2 linked regions of the Drosophila melanogaster genome follow. The protein of the gene in region 2 interacts with the protein of the main gene of each other region in a pairwise test. Each region holds a gene or a part of one and is shown on either strand. Other genes may lie near its edges.

The links. Proteins that work in one complex are often made in the same cells at the same time.
Region 1: the proteins of MCPH1 (region 2) and CG13065 interact in a two-hybrid assay, tested with the Drosophila melanogaster proteins (one large-scale study listed by BioGRID).

The regions. Positions count from the first base shown.
Region 1 is NT_037436.4:16,273,696-16,280,153, forward strand, and holds CG13065 (uncharacterized protein), read left to right. Parts: upstream 1-3,739; 5' UTR 3,740-3,791; coding exon 3,792-3,803; intron 3,804-3,872; coding exon 3,873-4,283; 3' UTR 4,284-4,485; downstream 4,486-6,458. Other genes in the region: CG13050 (uncharacterized protein), read right to left, coding at 4,963-5,385, 5,506-5,514.
Region 2 is NT_033778.4:11,898,884-11,906,788, reverse strand, and holds the start of MCPH1 (microcephalin), read left to right. Parts: upstream 1-2,870; 5' UTR 2,871-3,015; coding exon 3,016-3,208; intron 3,209-3,250; exon of another isoform or gene 3,251-3,325; coding exon of another isoform or gene 3,326-3,377; coding exon 3,378-3,624; intron 3,625-3,948; coding exon 3,949-4,170; intron 4,171-4,238; coding exon 4,239-4,431; intron 4,432-5,394; exon of another isoform or gene 5,395-5,801; coding exon of another isoform or gene 5,802-6,827; exon of another isoform or gene 6,828-7,272; intron 7,273-7,726; coding exon 7,727-7,870; intron 7,871-7,905. Other genes in the region: reb (rebuf), read left to right, coding at 342-449, 523-680, 743-1,394, 1,511-1,883, 1,945-1,949; Zip48C (Zinc/iron regulated transporter-related protein 48C), read right to left, coding at 5,802-6,827.

The DNA of each region.
Region 1 (6,458 bases), on a different chromosome or scaffold from region 2:
TGCAGGTTGCTCTTGGGAAGCGCCGTCTTATTGCAATAGATACCTGGATGGGAAGTATATATATATAGCTTTAGTTTGTGGTATTACATAGAATTATAAGTTCAAGATAAGGGATTTCATTTGAATTATTAACGAGTGCTGCAAGCTTTAATTTTTAACATTTGCAATGGTCACCAGAGCACTTTAAACTATTATATGATGAGAAGAATGAATTCGTTTAAGGTTAAATCAGGCCACCATTTTCATTAGACAGCTCCCATATGACAGAGTGCCCTCCAAGGGTGTGCCCAACTCTGGCCTGTTTGTGCGCCCACTTTGGTTCATCGACACTTCGCCACGTTCCAGGACGCAATCCTTGAGCTTTGTTTACGCAGTTCGCACCCCCTTAGCCCTGATACCCCCCTGACCCTTCGAGGTCTATGTGGCCAGCTCGCGGCACATTGTTTATCACTTTGATTGCAAGTTGCGTGTGTGTTGGCTTAGAGGTCAATGCATTTCCATCGCCACTGCGAATATGGTACTACATTGAGGGGCGCCGCTTAAATTGCATTTTGCTAATCACCCGCCATCGATAAGTTGAACGAAGCCACGCCTCAAACGAACCCACCACGCCAACTCTGGCATTAATCATACGCCGCGTGCAACCGTCGAAAAGTATGAAAATCAAATCAAGCGAACGACATTTAACTAAGAAACAACATTTTGCAAATTAATTCAAGTCTTTGAGTTGCTGATTCTCAATTCTCCTCGATGCTTTCAACGCTTTTTATAGCCCTGTAAAAGCTGAAAAACGCCTCATTCTGCACGTGCAGTTGCACTTCTTGCAGCTAATTTACTTGTTTTGTGGCTGTAGTCGGAAAATTAAATTAAAATTTAACGCTGCCTTTTGTCTCGATGGTCACGCCCCATTAATCAGCTGCCCCCTCGCGAAACATGCGGCGATTTATAATTGCCGAAGCCCCAGAAGTTGCACTTAAACGTTCCGTTTCCCAGGCTTTACTGGAGTGGGTACTCTATGAAAGAGTTTGGGGGTGGGGTGTGTAAGCTTAAATTAACATAAGTTAAATATTGTCAAATAGTCTAATTTAATGCTTAAATGTTGTACTTTAGGTAAGTGTGTTTATAAAATTAGTTTCAAATGCTCTCTTGTCGTAGTATTCAGTTAAGGTAAGTCTATACCGTGTCTGAATTGAGGATATCAAAATATTTGTTTTCTAACTTTATAAGTAAGTATAAATATATATGGTTTTTGGATGCAACTCAGTTCTTAATGTATAGCTGTATCGTATCTCTATGTAATCTAGCTAATACTGGACGCTCTTTTCAAATTGAATATGATATCCAACCTACCTCCAATTAGCAGTACGCGTATTAACTTGGCCAACAAGGGGACTTCTAGGCCCATGTGCTATAATTACCCCCCGCTGTTCGGTGACTGCTTAGGCGATTACAACAATCTTGTCTAATTGACAGTTGTACACTGTCATTCGAGAGCATTGGAACGATAATGGGGGGGCTGCGTCGATTAGAACTTGCTGCGATCAATTTGCGGAGACATCAATAAGAAGCCAAACCCGATTTAAAGGCGCTCGCATTTCAGCCGTGCTGCCCAATAAATTGCGTTTTGATTTAATCGCCGTGTTGCACAAGTGCCACAAAATTAATTGCCAGCAATTTTTCGCACCGTGTAGATAGCAGCGCGGCTGCAACGACGCATTGAGCCGGATCTCAGGAGGCACTTAATTGAAATGCTTGGCTAGTTTGATTTACAGCCCAAAAGTGCAAATCGGGTGGAGAACTTCGGCTGGACTGGACTAACATCGCTATTGGAATCGCCCACACGGCGTATACGTATGTGTATGCAAATCCCCTTGGAGTTACGCATTGGAAGCCCGGCTGTTGACCTGCTCCCCCATTTCCCCCCTCCTTGGCCACCTTGTATTGTCAACTGCTTTTTGCCTTTCCATTTGCCCGCGGGCTTTTCTGGACTGAGCTAGGCCTTATCCTTAACCCTTTTGTTGTCAGTGGGTGTGAATTGGACCCCATTTGTTTTGTGCACCAACGCAGCATGTTGAACCTTTAAGTATTGAAGTGCTGGGATTCTTGGAATCAAAATCAGAAGCTTCGAAAGTTCGGAGTTTCCAGCCCCTTTACACCAACCATTTATTCATTAAAATGTACCATAATTATTAATTTTAACATCTGATTGTTTCGTCGCTTGTTTTTAATTCTATTAAAATAATTTATAATTATAGCCTTTGTGTTTTAATAAACTTAAACAAATTAGCAGGCAAGAAAAGTGTTTAACTAATATAATATTTAACAAAACATATCACATTGAGTAAAACTAACTTGCGCAGAAGGTGTTAAGTGCACGCATGCACTTTTGCTGCCTGCAGGGCGGTGATTTCAACAAGTGCTGGATTGGGTCTCCAATCCGACCCCCCTCCCATCAGCCCCCCTTTTCGGCCACGCCCCTTTCATAAGTGTTAAGTGTTTGGAGCTTGCGTAAAGCGCTGTCTGGAAAATGTGCTTCGAGTGGGTCGCCGGCAATTAAGTGGCAGCCGCAGTTCCTTCGGCATTGTTGTTGCAGTTGCATGAGTTATGGGTGCACTGGTTCATAAGTTGGCACCGCCAGTGGCGTCGTTTGGCCCAGGATTCCCTCCCGTTGCACTAGAAGAACGACCTTGCCCACGCCCCTGTCTACGATCGTTTATTGTTCTTGGCACACACTGCATTTGCCCCACATAGAACGATCTCGAGGCGGATCTGGATCTGGTTTTTGCTTCGGTTTTACGCACAGGTGTGTATCTGCCACGCCCCTTTCATTGCCGGCCTGTGTTGTAATTATTAAGACTTTGGCTCCGCGAATGCTCGAGCATTTACTGCGAAAATTTCTACAGCAAAATAGCCTCACGCATTTGAATGAATTTAAACGGCGGAATGGGCGAAACTTGTTGCCTGCATGGAAATAAATGCATACAAGAACCCAAAAAGGCAAGATACAAAATGCAATTTAAGTTTTTCTCACGCACACCTTGTCGCGGCTTCGGCATTAGGTAAATAGACCAAAAACAAATTTATCAGAAATTATTCAAAATAAAAACAAAAATGGTCGAAACGTTGATCGATTGGGGAAATACCCTTTGACTGGAGACAATTATGAATATTCAATATAAACAGCATAATACTTATAATAGATAATATATATTTAGATTGAAATTTCCATAAATATATTAAAAATATTAAGACAAAATAAGTTCTAATAGTGTAAATAGGTAAATATAAATATTTCATTATTGTGAACCGAATAACTCACAGAATAACTACTATCCTTGTAGAAGAATCAAAAATTTAATGAATAATTTATGTAATATTTCATTTGATGACTTTCCTAATTACGTATTAAAATCCTTATTATTCATTAGATAAAAACAATCTCTCATTTAGTTTACCACCGAAAGGGTATGGCCAAATCGCAGCCCAGGCCCACATCCGCGTTGTCTGGGGCGGGGCCAGGTGGTGCTCCGGTGGGTCCCAGGTCTCCATCGCCATCTCGATACTCGACAGGCCAGCTTTGCATGTGGCTCTCTTGGACTCGGTTTTGGGCTACGAATATGCCTATGTCTCTCGTTTGAACAAAAGTAAAAGTCTCTGGGCCGCCAGTTTGGATCCGTTCTCGTGCTGCATTTTGGCCAGGTCTGTGGGCTATAAAAGCATTTGTGCCTTAGACAGCGGCATTATTCAGCTTTGTGTTCTTGCCACGAGTTCAACTTGCAACCAAAACCAAAATGTTCAAATACGTAAGTGGAATTGATATACTCTGAAAAGTCCTTTGTTAGTATCTCATTTTTTTTTCCCCCATCAACTAGTTCGTTTTCGCCGTTTTCTGCCTGGCCAGCGCTGCTGCTGCTCCTGGCTATTTGGGCGGATTAGCTGCTCCGGCCTTGCCGCTGACTGCAGCTGCTCCGGCCATCTCCTATGGACACGCCTTGGCTGCTCCCTCGATTGCCTCTTACGGGCTGGCCCCCAGGCTTAGCTATGCCGCCCCGGCCTTGGCGCACGCTCCTCTGGCTGCTCCGGCCCTTTCCGCCTACGGATTGGGATATGGTCCCGGTCCCATTGGCCTGGCTCATGGTCCTTTGGGACTAGCTCACGCCCCTCTGGCCGCTCCCTTGGGATTGGGCTACAAGTCGGCATATCCTACTCTGGGTGCTCCTCTGGGACTGGGCTACAAGACAGCTCTTGCTGCTCCTGCCTATGGACTCGCTCATGGATGGTAAACGAGGTCCATACCACCCATCATCGTTTTCCGCATGCATTTCGTTTTGTTTGGATCGGTCAGAAATGAGATGTAAATACACAGAGAAAAAAGAGAGAGAGAGAAATCAGTGAAGGTTTTGTAAAGTGAAATCAAATTGTTAAAAAACAGATTGTGAAGAGTGGGTTTGATGTTGAAATATATTTCGATTGAATTTAAAAACTAAACTTAAAACTGTTTTATTTGATCAAGCGTTTGAGGCAATATGAAAAACGTGCTGACAATTTTCAAATATTCAGTTTCATTTTGTTTTTCAGATATTTATTTTCAGATTTCAGTATTTGGATGTTCCTTATAGCCAAAGTTTTGAAATCGTAAACGAATGTTATATATTTTGTTCAGAACATCAAAAGTGTGCTTTACTTACATTAAGTATCAAAATATATGTTTAGTATAGGCAATTAAGACAATTATAAATATGTCTCAAAGAACCGTGAGAAAAAAAGATCCAGTTTTAATAAACGGTTGACCATGATTCTAGTTTTTTGTACATTTTTTGCTTTGTCTTTATTGATTTATTGACTTGCTGAGTGACTGACTGAATAAGATTTGGGTACTGCGAAGTATATGACTTGATTGAAAACTCTCACACGCTCGTCCCGGCTCCATTTGGCTTAACTTTACTTGACTTGGGAGTACCTCTACCAACCGTGGCCATAGCCATATCCCAGTCCGTATCCCAGACCCAGACCCAGACCCAGACCGTGTCCTCCGTACAGTCCATGGCCGTAGCCTCCGAGATATCCGTGACCGAGGCCATAGCCATAGCCGCCCAAGTAGCTTTTGCCGATGATCGTCTTGGAGATGATGGGTGCATGGTAGCCCAATCCCAGACCAAGACCTCCATAGTGCCCGCCATAGCCGTGCCCGTAGAGTCCTCCGTAGTGCCCGATTCCTAGACCCAATCCCAGGCCATATCCACCGTAGCCATGACCAATTCCGATTCCAATGCTGGGTGATGGAGATGGAGCAGGAGCTGGAGACGGAGATGGTTCTGGAGCGGGTTCAGGAGCAGGAGCTGCCAGGATGGAGGTCGTCAAGCAGGCGATTGTAATGAGTAGCAGCTTTCAATGAAGAAAAGACAAATGTTATTTATATGATTTAAGTAAAAAAAATTGCTTATATTTTCTAAAGTATTTTTTATTAATAATTGTATTATCCTTTTATATCCTGGTACCACTTACTCCTTTCATCTTGCTGTAGGTAATTTTCCGGCTGCTTCTGTGGCGGCTTAACCAATTGTGTTGCTGCAGTTGATCCCAGCAGGCCTCTTTTATACCAAACCCCAGTTCAGTGGATTGCATCCCCACATGGACATCGGTGATCTAATGAGCAGTGCCACAAAGTAAATCTAATTCGCCTGACAAGTTGCCCAAGTTAGCGGCATGCCACAAAACCATCCGTAGCTGCTGTAAATAAAAAGAAAATCCAACACCTGTTTTTTTTTGCCTTTTGGGCCAGCATTGTATAATCTGCAATCGAGTTTGGCATTTACCAGTCCACAATGGTTCCAGTTCCAGTTTTTAATTTGGCCTGTGGGCATTTTAAATCTGGTGGGTGGCCTTTTCCTTCGTTTCCTTCATGTGATTCCGGTTGGATCTGATCAAGAACTAAGATCTGAACTTCGGGTCAATGGTCTGTTTATTTTTATTCAGTATAGAAAAGAAGAGAACTATATAAGTAAAAGTATAGACTCCTCCAAAAAAACGCTATATATTCGTAGGTTTAATTTAAATATATTTCAAAATCTATTTTTCACGAATCTATAACACAAGTATATATTAAGCAAAATTTGTATGTGTCAGACTGGCCACAAAAGCAACTTCGTTGTAGGGAGTGTGCTAGTATTAAAACTAAAACAACGTTTATAACCGCTTTAGCATAAAGAGCTCGAACAGCCGCTGAATAAAGTCAAACTAATCAATTCTTAACACCTCCAAAGCCACATAAAATAGCTCGAAAAACACAAGATTGGGCAATGATTAAAATTGAAAAGAGACATCAAATGGGTAAACAAAGGCAAATCCGCAGACGTGTGACCAACTAACTCATACTTCCCAAGAAAAAAAAAACAAACAAACAAAAAGCCGAGAAATGTAAGACAACAAAAGCAACCAACCAACCCAATGTGCCATAA
Region 2 (7,905 bases):
AATTGTCAAGGCATCGCCGTCGTTCAATTAGAGGCGGTGACATTGGTGATTCGATGGATCGACCCAAGGAGCGAGCTATCTAACAAAAAAAATCCAAGCCCAAAAACACCCATTGTTGCCATCCGTGCGCAGAGTTCATTGGCTTGCAGATTGATTGGACTGATTGCCTAATAATCTTTTCAGTGCGTGTCCCATTCGACGGGGATTTAATTTCGACTGCTAGCCAGATCCAATCAAAGTCATTCGCACCCGCAGGTTAATTGTCTCATAATTATTTATAATAATTTCGGAAAATGTTCTACCGTTGCAGAGGAAACGAATCAAGCGATCAGACCGACAAGATGATTTCTCGCCGCAAGATCATATCGCGCTCCCTAGACAATTTGGATGCCATCGGGCAGGAAGAGCAGGAGGAAGACGTCTGGCACGATCGCGAAAAGCTCTTCAGGGTGCGTTTCCTGTCCATTATAACTCATTTGATCTCTAGCTCATCCATTATCCATACCTATTGACACCACGCAGGATCACATCAACGAGGTTCTGTCCAAGTGGGAGCAAATCGACGACGAGATCTGGGCCAAGATAATTGTCTTCGAGAAAAATCGGCGAGTGGCCAAGGCCTACGCCCGCTCCTCTGTGATAACCATAAATGGATCTAAGAATGGATTCGATGGAGTGCGGTGAGTTTGAACTTAATATTTGACTATTAAGAACAACTTATTTAATATGGCTAAATCCACAGTATTGGGCTGAATGGCTTCGATAATCCGATGCGCGATGCGGAGACGAAGGTGATCAAAAAGTCCATCGGCGATGGATTCAAGATCAAAATGGACGACACCGGCAACATATTCATCAAGCGGTATGGCAAGAGCAGCATCTACGTGAACAGCACATCGCAGGGCAACGAGGAGACGGTGATCGGTGGCGACATAATCCAAATGCCGCAGATGTCCCTCACCGCGGCCACCTCCGCTCGACTCTTTGATATGAAGAAGTTCCAGACGAACATAAACCGCGAGTTTGCCCGCACTTATCCGGAGCGCGGAAGACTGGAACGGCAGTGCCTGTCCGCCGTATCGCTTGTCAAGTCGAACAACAATCTTATCAACTCTCCGGTCTGGATACTCGTGGTCAACGTGGTGGCCATGGACATGCTGAGGAGCCGCCTCCAAACGATTCCCAAGTCACTGGATGCGATGGGCATGCGAGTGCCGCTGACGAACAGCAGCGAGGATCCATACTCCACCATCGAAAGCCAAGTGGGATTGATCTATCCTACGCCCGCCGCGTCGGATGATTCCCAGAACTCCCAGCACTCGAGCAACTCCAGCAAGGGACGGCGCAGCATCTTTAGTGCCGCCTTCCTCAACGAGGGTCCATATGTGCCCAAGGTGGGTTCTAACCTAGATTACATTCTACCTGAAAAATTTGGGACTTCAAACCTTTTAACCTGTTTGGGAAAAAAAACTTAGCCTAATAATTCTTATTTGCTTTTTACACTTTGCAGCCCGACTACGAATCTGGCGGATCTTTGACGCCCATATATGCGGACAAGAAGCGACAGAAGAGCAGCGGGTCGCAGCAGCGGAAGAAGCAGGATGATCCGTACTACTGCGGACTCTTGGCGCGTATTCCCAACTTCATCAAGTCCTCGAAGCAGCCGTGCCCTGGAGGAGCCAGCAAGCCCAAGAAGGAGCCAAAGATCTCGCGGAAGATCTCGGCACAGCACCAGCAACAGCAGTTCCTGCAGCCGGCGCAACCCATTCCCATTGCCACATTCCACCACTCGTACTTCCCCTACAAACTGTATCCACCGCAGCACCGTCTCTCCCAGTCGCAAATGTCCCTCTGGGATGCACGTAGTCTGATCAGCGCACATGGTAAGTGACCACTTAATTTGTTAAGTGTATCTCAGTTAATCAGAACATTTCGCCATTTCAGAATGATCACTTTGGCTGGCCCTAATTTATTCATCGTCTAGCGTTAATTCTAAAATTATTTAGTCAAAGCCTACGATTAAGTTTGGTCAGTGAAGGATCATCGATTCACTGGATCACTGTGGAGTGCATTTCGCTCAGTTTTGTGATAAATGCAGCGAAATGCAGCCATTTAGCGTACGTCACTTAATACGCACTAACTCTAATTAACCGCAGTTAACTTTAAGTCAAGCAGAGAGATTTAATGATTATGCAATTTGTAATGAGTAATTAAAATTTTGCCATAGTTTCTTAAATCGTTTAAGACTGAGAGAATGTCCTAGAGCCCACGATAAGCGCACGGAGAGTTTGGCTGAGATTCAGGATGGGGGCAGATAATGTCATATGCAAATTAATTGCTACTTTAGGCAAGTTCAATTTATTATTTTCTTATTATTTTTCTGTACATACACTTCATATGTAAATAAGATCAAATTAAAAACATGTAATCGATATTAGTACGCATTAAAAAAGAGTTATGAAAGTCAATATAAGTGTTTTACTTTAAACGGGTTACAATCTACGCTGCTGAAACTGAATAATAAAGGTATTTTGTATAATTGTGTGTAGTTTGATTTTCATTTACGAGAACATTTAAACATATCTATATCTATATATATTTTCCGACATTTTTGCATTTACTAATTGTGTTTAAATATCGGAACTTAAAATTTATTAAACTGCTTTGCCTCTTTCTAAGATAAACATTGGTGGTGAAAAGTAAACCTGCGCTATCACAAGATTTTTTGTCTCCTAAATTAAATACATAATAAAATGCCGCCAAATTCGTCATCGAACTAAAATCTTAATGTACTAAACGGAGACCATATAAAAACAATCGATTTTCGGTGAGAACGATAACCGATTGCCAGTGAGTGATCTTGTAGCATTGAGGTTACCCGGTCACACTATCACATTGTGTTGCACTTTTTGTGAGGTTTGGATTAGAAAATTATTGGCGCCTCTTTTGCAGAGTTTTGCGACCGACTTCATTGCAATAAGGAGCGCCAGAGTGCGGAGAACATAGCCCGTGACCATGGACAAGTTTCTGTTGCGCAATCCCACGTGGAAGACGAAGACGTACGGATCGGTCGTGGCCAGTTCCGCCGCAGCTGCCAAGAAAACAGCGGCGTCATCGACCCGCCGACCGTTGCACGATTCAAATCTGGGCGACTTCAGGTCCAAAGCAGCGGCACCGTCTCCCAAATCTCTATCCCAGGCCCCGGCAGGTTGGCTGTGCATGCCTATTTTACATTTTGAACACCCAACCCAGTAGTTTTAGTTCCGGATACGTAGCTCACCCAAAATTCGTAGTATTCAAAAAAAAAAAAAAAAAACAGATTACCATGTCGACAAACGAACCGAGCATTACTAACAAGTTGCGTTCCCTCCTGCTAGATGACCAGGCGGCCAGGGATCGGCTGATGCTCAAGCCGGCATTAGCCGTCTCCAAAGCGATCAGCCAGCACCGCTCCGAGTTCCACCAGGACGAGAACGAGGCGGGAGCAGAAGGATCTGCAGCAAAACCAGATCCACCCATCGGAGCAGCCACGCCAACCAGGCAGGAAGGACACTGGGCCCGACTGCAGCAAGATCTCAACAGCCCCAACGCTGCACTCCGATTACGCGCCATTCGTGCATTAAAGTAAGGACAAAAATTGGTTATTGCAATTGTTATTTATACAACCTAAAGGTCAACTAGTGAAAACAGCTCAGATTCTTGACTAATCCATCCTTTTATAGCCATTTTATCGCTAATTTTGTAAAGTTAGATTCTTTAGATGCAATCCCTAATAATTCCATATCCATCAATAACTATTATATTAACAAGCCAGGTTTTTTTGCCAAAACCAAGTATTGATTATTATTATTATTAATTATTGTTTTGCAATGCAATCTAATCTGATTTGAGAAGAAACTGATCATAATAAAAAAAATGCATTCGCTTTTACATTGTATACATTTTTAGAAGCCCCACCAAGTCGGCATACAATACCTTCGATGTGCCTTTAGCCGAACAAAGCATCATCACGATGGAAGAACGCAATCCCCAGGAGCCGCCCTCCCTCCCCGAGTTGCTCAAGGACATAGTCGTATATGTGGAGGTGCGAACTGGAAACGACAATCGCTCTGAGGGCGTAAAATCAATTATTGCCAAGATGGGAGCCCAGGTCAAAGATCGCCTAACGCGGTAAGCTAAGGGATTACAATTGATTGACTAAAATATATTCAATTAAACATTTTTCGTTTGGCTTGTAGAACCACCACACACGTTGTCTTCAAGGATGGCCTGCTCTCCACCTATAAAAAGGCCACCGAGTGGAATATACCAGTCGTTTCCATTCTGTGGATTGAAGCTTGCAAGGTGCAGCTGAAAATATGCGATCCCAAGCAATTTCCAATCAGCAATATACGCATGTACGAGTATCCCGAGCTCTTTGGCAAAATGCCGGTAAGTTATTACTAATTGTGGCTTCTGTTGCATCATCGATCTTATTTATATATTCAAATGGGGATAAATGGGGCTTAAGAAGATAACTTTTAATTGTCACCATTCGGCTTTATAATTTAGCTTGCCTTCTCATAATACTAAGCTCACTGCAAAATACCCAATAACACATTGCAAAAATAGGCTTGTATGTACGTAGATATTAAAAGTTGACTTATCAAGGTCTTCATACAACTTTTAATATTCTTATCATATCATTATTTGTTAGGCCTAACAACTTCCCAAAAGCTTTATCAGATCTAAGACGACAATGTACTTTCGAGTTCATCAACTCTGCATTACATTTTGGTTGGAAATGGCAGCTTTAACTTACACTTCGATTACAAAAGAAATAGGTCTTTAATTAGTCTAATCGTTGACACTATCAATTTATGGCATTGCGGACACAGAAGCATTAACTCCACTTGAGATATGCCCCCAACTAATAGGCCATTCATACCGAGTTTATGGTTTTATGGCGCACATAAAGAACTATATGGAAATTGTACAACAGATAGCCGGCAAGAGGTCTTATCGACCACTTTTCCTGATGACCACGATCACAGTGGGTGGACTGTGGCCCAAAGCACTTGTGCGAGTACAAACATACATATCTGAAATGATTAGTTAATCCAGAAAATGGCGAACAGAAACGCAGGACCGCGGGCCGTCTGAAACTGCACGTATCTCAAACACGGAATACGCGCAATATTGGGAACTCTTCGTGTCGGACAGATTCTTATCACTTATCACTGGCTGACAGCGAGTCAACCAGCTGTTGTTGTTGTTGGCACTCCGGGTTATCTAAGTGAATTTACTTGCCCTTATCAGCTATCGTACGGCCAAAGAAACGGTCAGGAAGTTGTCCGGACGGAGACAGCTACATTTGTGAGGGAAAAAAGCGAGTGGGTGCAACTGAGAGATGTTCATTTGAATTCGTTTAGTTTATTACTTAGACATTAGACGGTTAAAAAAGACACAAGCTACTGGACGCCGGTGACAACTTAAAACCTAATTCACATGCACGTTTGTTTACAAATTTTCCTAGAACAGTTCATTTACATAACTCGCTGGGAATGCTGTACAGATACGTGTGCACAGATACACAATTGCACGGATGTCGTCGCGGCATCGCTGGTTGTCAAGCTTCTTTCTACAAAACTTACACTCTACGCTAGATTATTAGATTCTCGTTTAGGGCTGGTTCTGAGATTTGTACACAGCATGCTTCTATTTACAAGACAGCAGAGTTTTGCGTTAAGTACAGTGGAATCTTTGAGTTTAGCACTAGATTATGAAATCTGCGAGGCGGGCGAAGGCGAGCCGTTCGTTCCTCACGACAGCGCCACCTCCAGACACATCATGATCAGGAAGCCGGATACAGTGCCCCACGTGGCGATCGTTCCATTTCCGCTGGCATGAGCCTCCGGCAGAATGTCGTCCGACACAATGTATATCATGGCTCCGGCCGCAAAAGACAAGGCGTATGGCAGGATCAGGTTGGCAAAGGTCACCGCCACGGCGCCCAGAACTCCAAAAATGGGCTCCACCATTCCGGACAGCTGTCCGTACCACAGAGCCCGCTTCACGCTGAATCCTGCGGCATGCAGTGGCAAGCTGACAGCCAATCCCTCGGGGAAGTTTTGAATGCCAATGCCAATGGCCAAATTGCGGGCGCTCTCAAATGTCGATGAGTTCGTGGAGCCAATGGCACCAAAGCTTACGCCCACAGCCAGCCCTTCTGGAATGTTGTGGACCGTGATGGCCACGACCAAAAGCATAATCCTCTTCCACTGGGACAGGGCGTCCTCGGCGCGCTGCTGCTCCTCAGGCGTGGTGTAGGTGCACTGCTCCATCTCGTTGATGCTAGCTCCCTTCTTTCGGCGTCTCGATTCGCCGCTGTGCTGCACGCTAAGGCAGTCGGAGAAGCTGTCCAGACTCTTTGAGGCCAACCTATCGGGGGCAACTCCATTGCGCTTAGAGTCCTCGATGGCTATGTCCGCCTTGGCTTTTGATTGCGTCATCTGGATCATCATGTTGGTGCTGTTAAGGCCCAGGTATGACATCAATTTGTCGCATCCGTAGACGAAGATCGATCCCAAGAGGAAGCCTCCAGCGACGGGCAGAAAGGCGTATACTCCGTACAAATGGGAACTCTCGGCCATTTCGATGGCCGGCTTGAGGAGTGACCAAAAGGAGGCTGCTATCATTACGCCAGCTGCGAATCCCAGGGCGGCGTCCAGAGACCTCCGCTGGTTACCCCGGACGAAGATCACTAGGGCGGCGCCAGCGGCGGTCAGTCCCCAGGTAAGCAGGGTGCCCAGCAGAGCCTGCGTGACGGGTCCATAGCCTGGAATCATCTTGCACAGTTAGAGCTGCTTTTCCGTGCCCGTCACCGGCTGGTATGGAATTGTACTCCCGAGATTTATTCGCGTGTACACAGACAGGGCGAACAAGTTTTCTTAATTGTTGCGCAGCAATTGTTTACCCGCCCACAGTTGGAAATGTGCCACGTTCTTGGGCACTGATTGCTGGGTAAACAAAACAACTGAGAACCAATTTCAATGGAGTTTTAGATTCTGTGTATGTTTCAAGGGAATCTCTGGAACACTTGTTGCTGCTTATCGTATTGTTTTTGCGGAATGCTATTGCGTTTCGGGCGGCGGGGCAATTTCGGGGGGACGCGTAATACTGACGGGTTGATAAAAAGGTCTACTAGCTCTACTAGAGCGCGTCGGAAAGTGATGAATGAGCCGCTGACTGAGCTGACAGCCCCACAAAAAGCAATTTTTATAGGGCCGCTGGCTGTGTGCCACGGCAATCGATAGTAGTGTTATCGCTGGCGTCTATCGATAGACGGCGGCCGCTAGGGATGGCACTCGCAAGGCGCATTTATTCAAAATTCGTTACCGAACTCTGCTACTAAATCATTATTGCTCACCTCGGATTTGACTTGTAATTTTATTAAATATCATTTGATATTCATTTAACGCATAAGCGAGCACTATCGATTGCGACTTGATGGAACCATCCTCTTGGGCAGCGAGATGGTCTCATTGTAGATAAGAAAGTTTTCTATTTAAACAACGGGCCAGATATCACGTAGTTATGAACAAATAAAACAGTGTTTTCTAGTCAACATGACTGAAAAAAGTCGGCAGCATCCGCAGCATCAACAATAACACCAAAGGGCATGAGCTTGCTCACCGTAGTTGCAGCTACGCAGCGTTAACTAATTTTAAAATCCCTTAATTCGCAGCGCGTTAAGTTCATGCAGCCGGACTCCGAGTTGAATCAGCGACCCCGCAAACGCCAAGGAACACCCACATCCTCCAAGGACAACGAGCCAGGATCGACTAACAAACGAGCCCAGACCGGAACTCCAACAACCACCACACCAAAGGTAATTGGGCTCAGTATTAAATATTACAAATATTT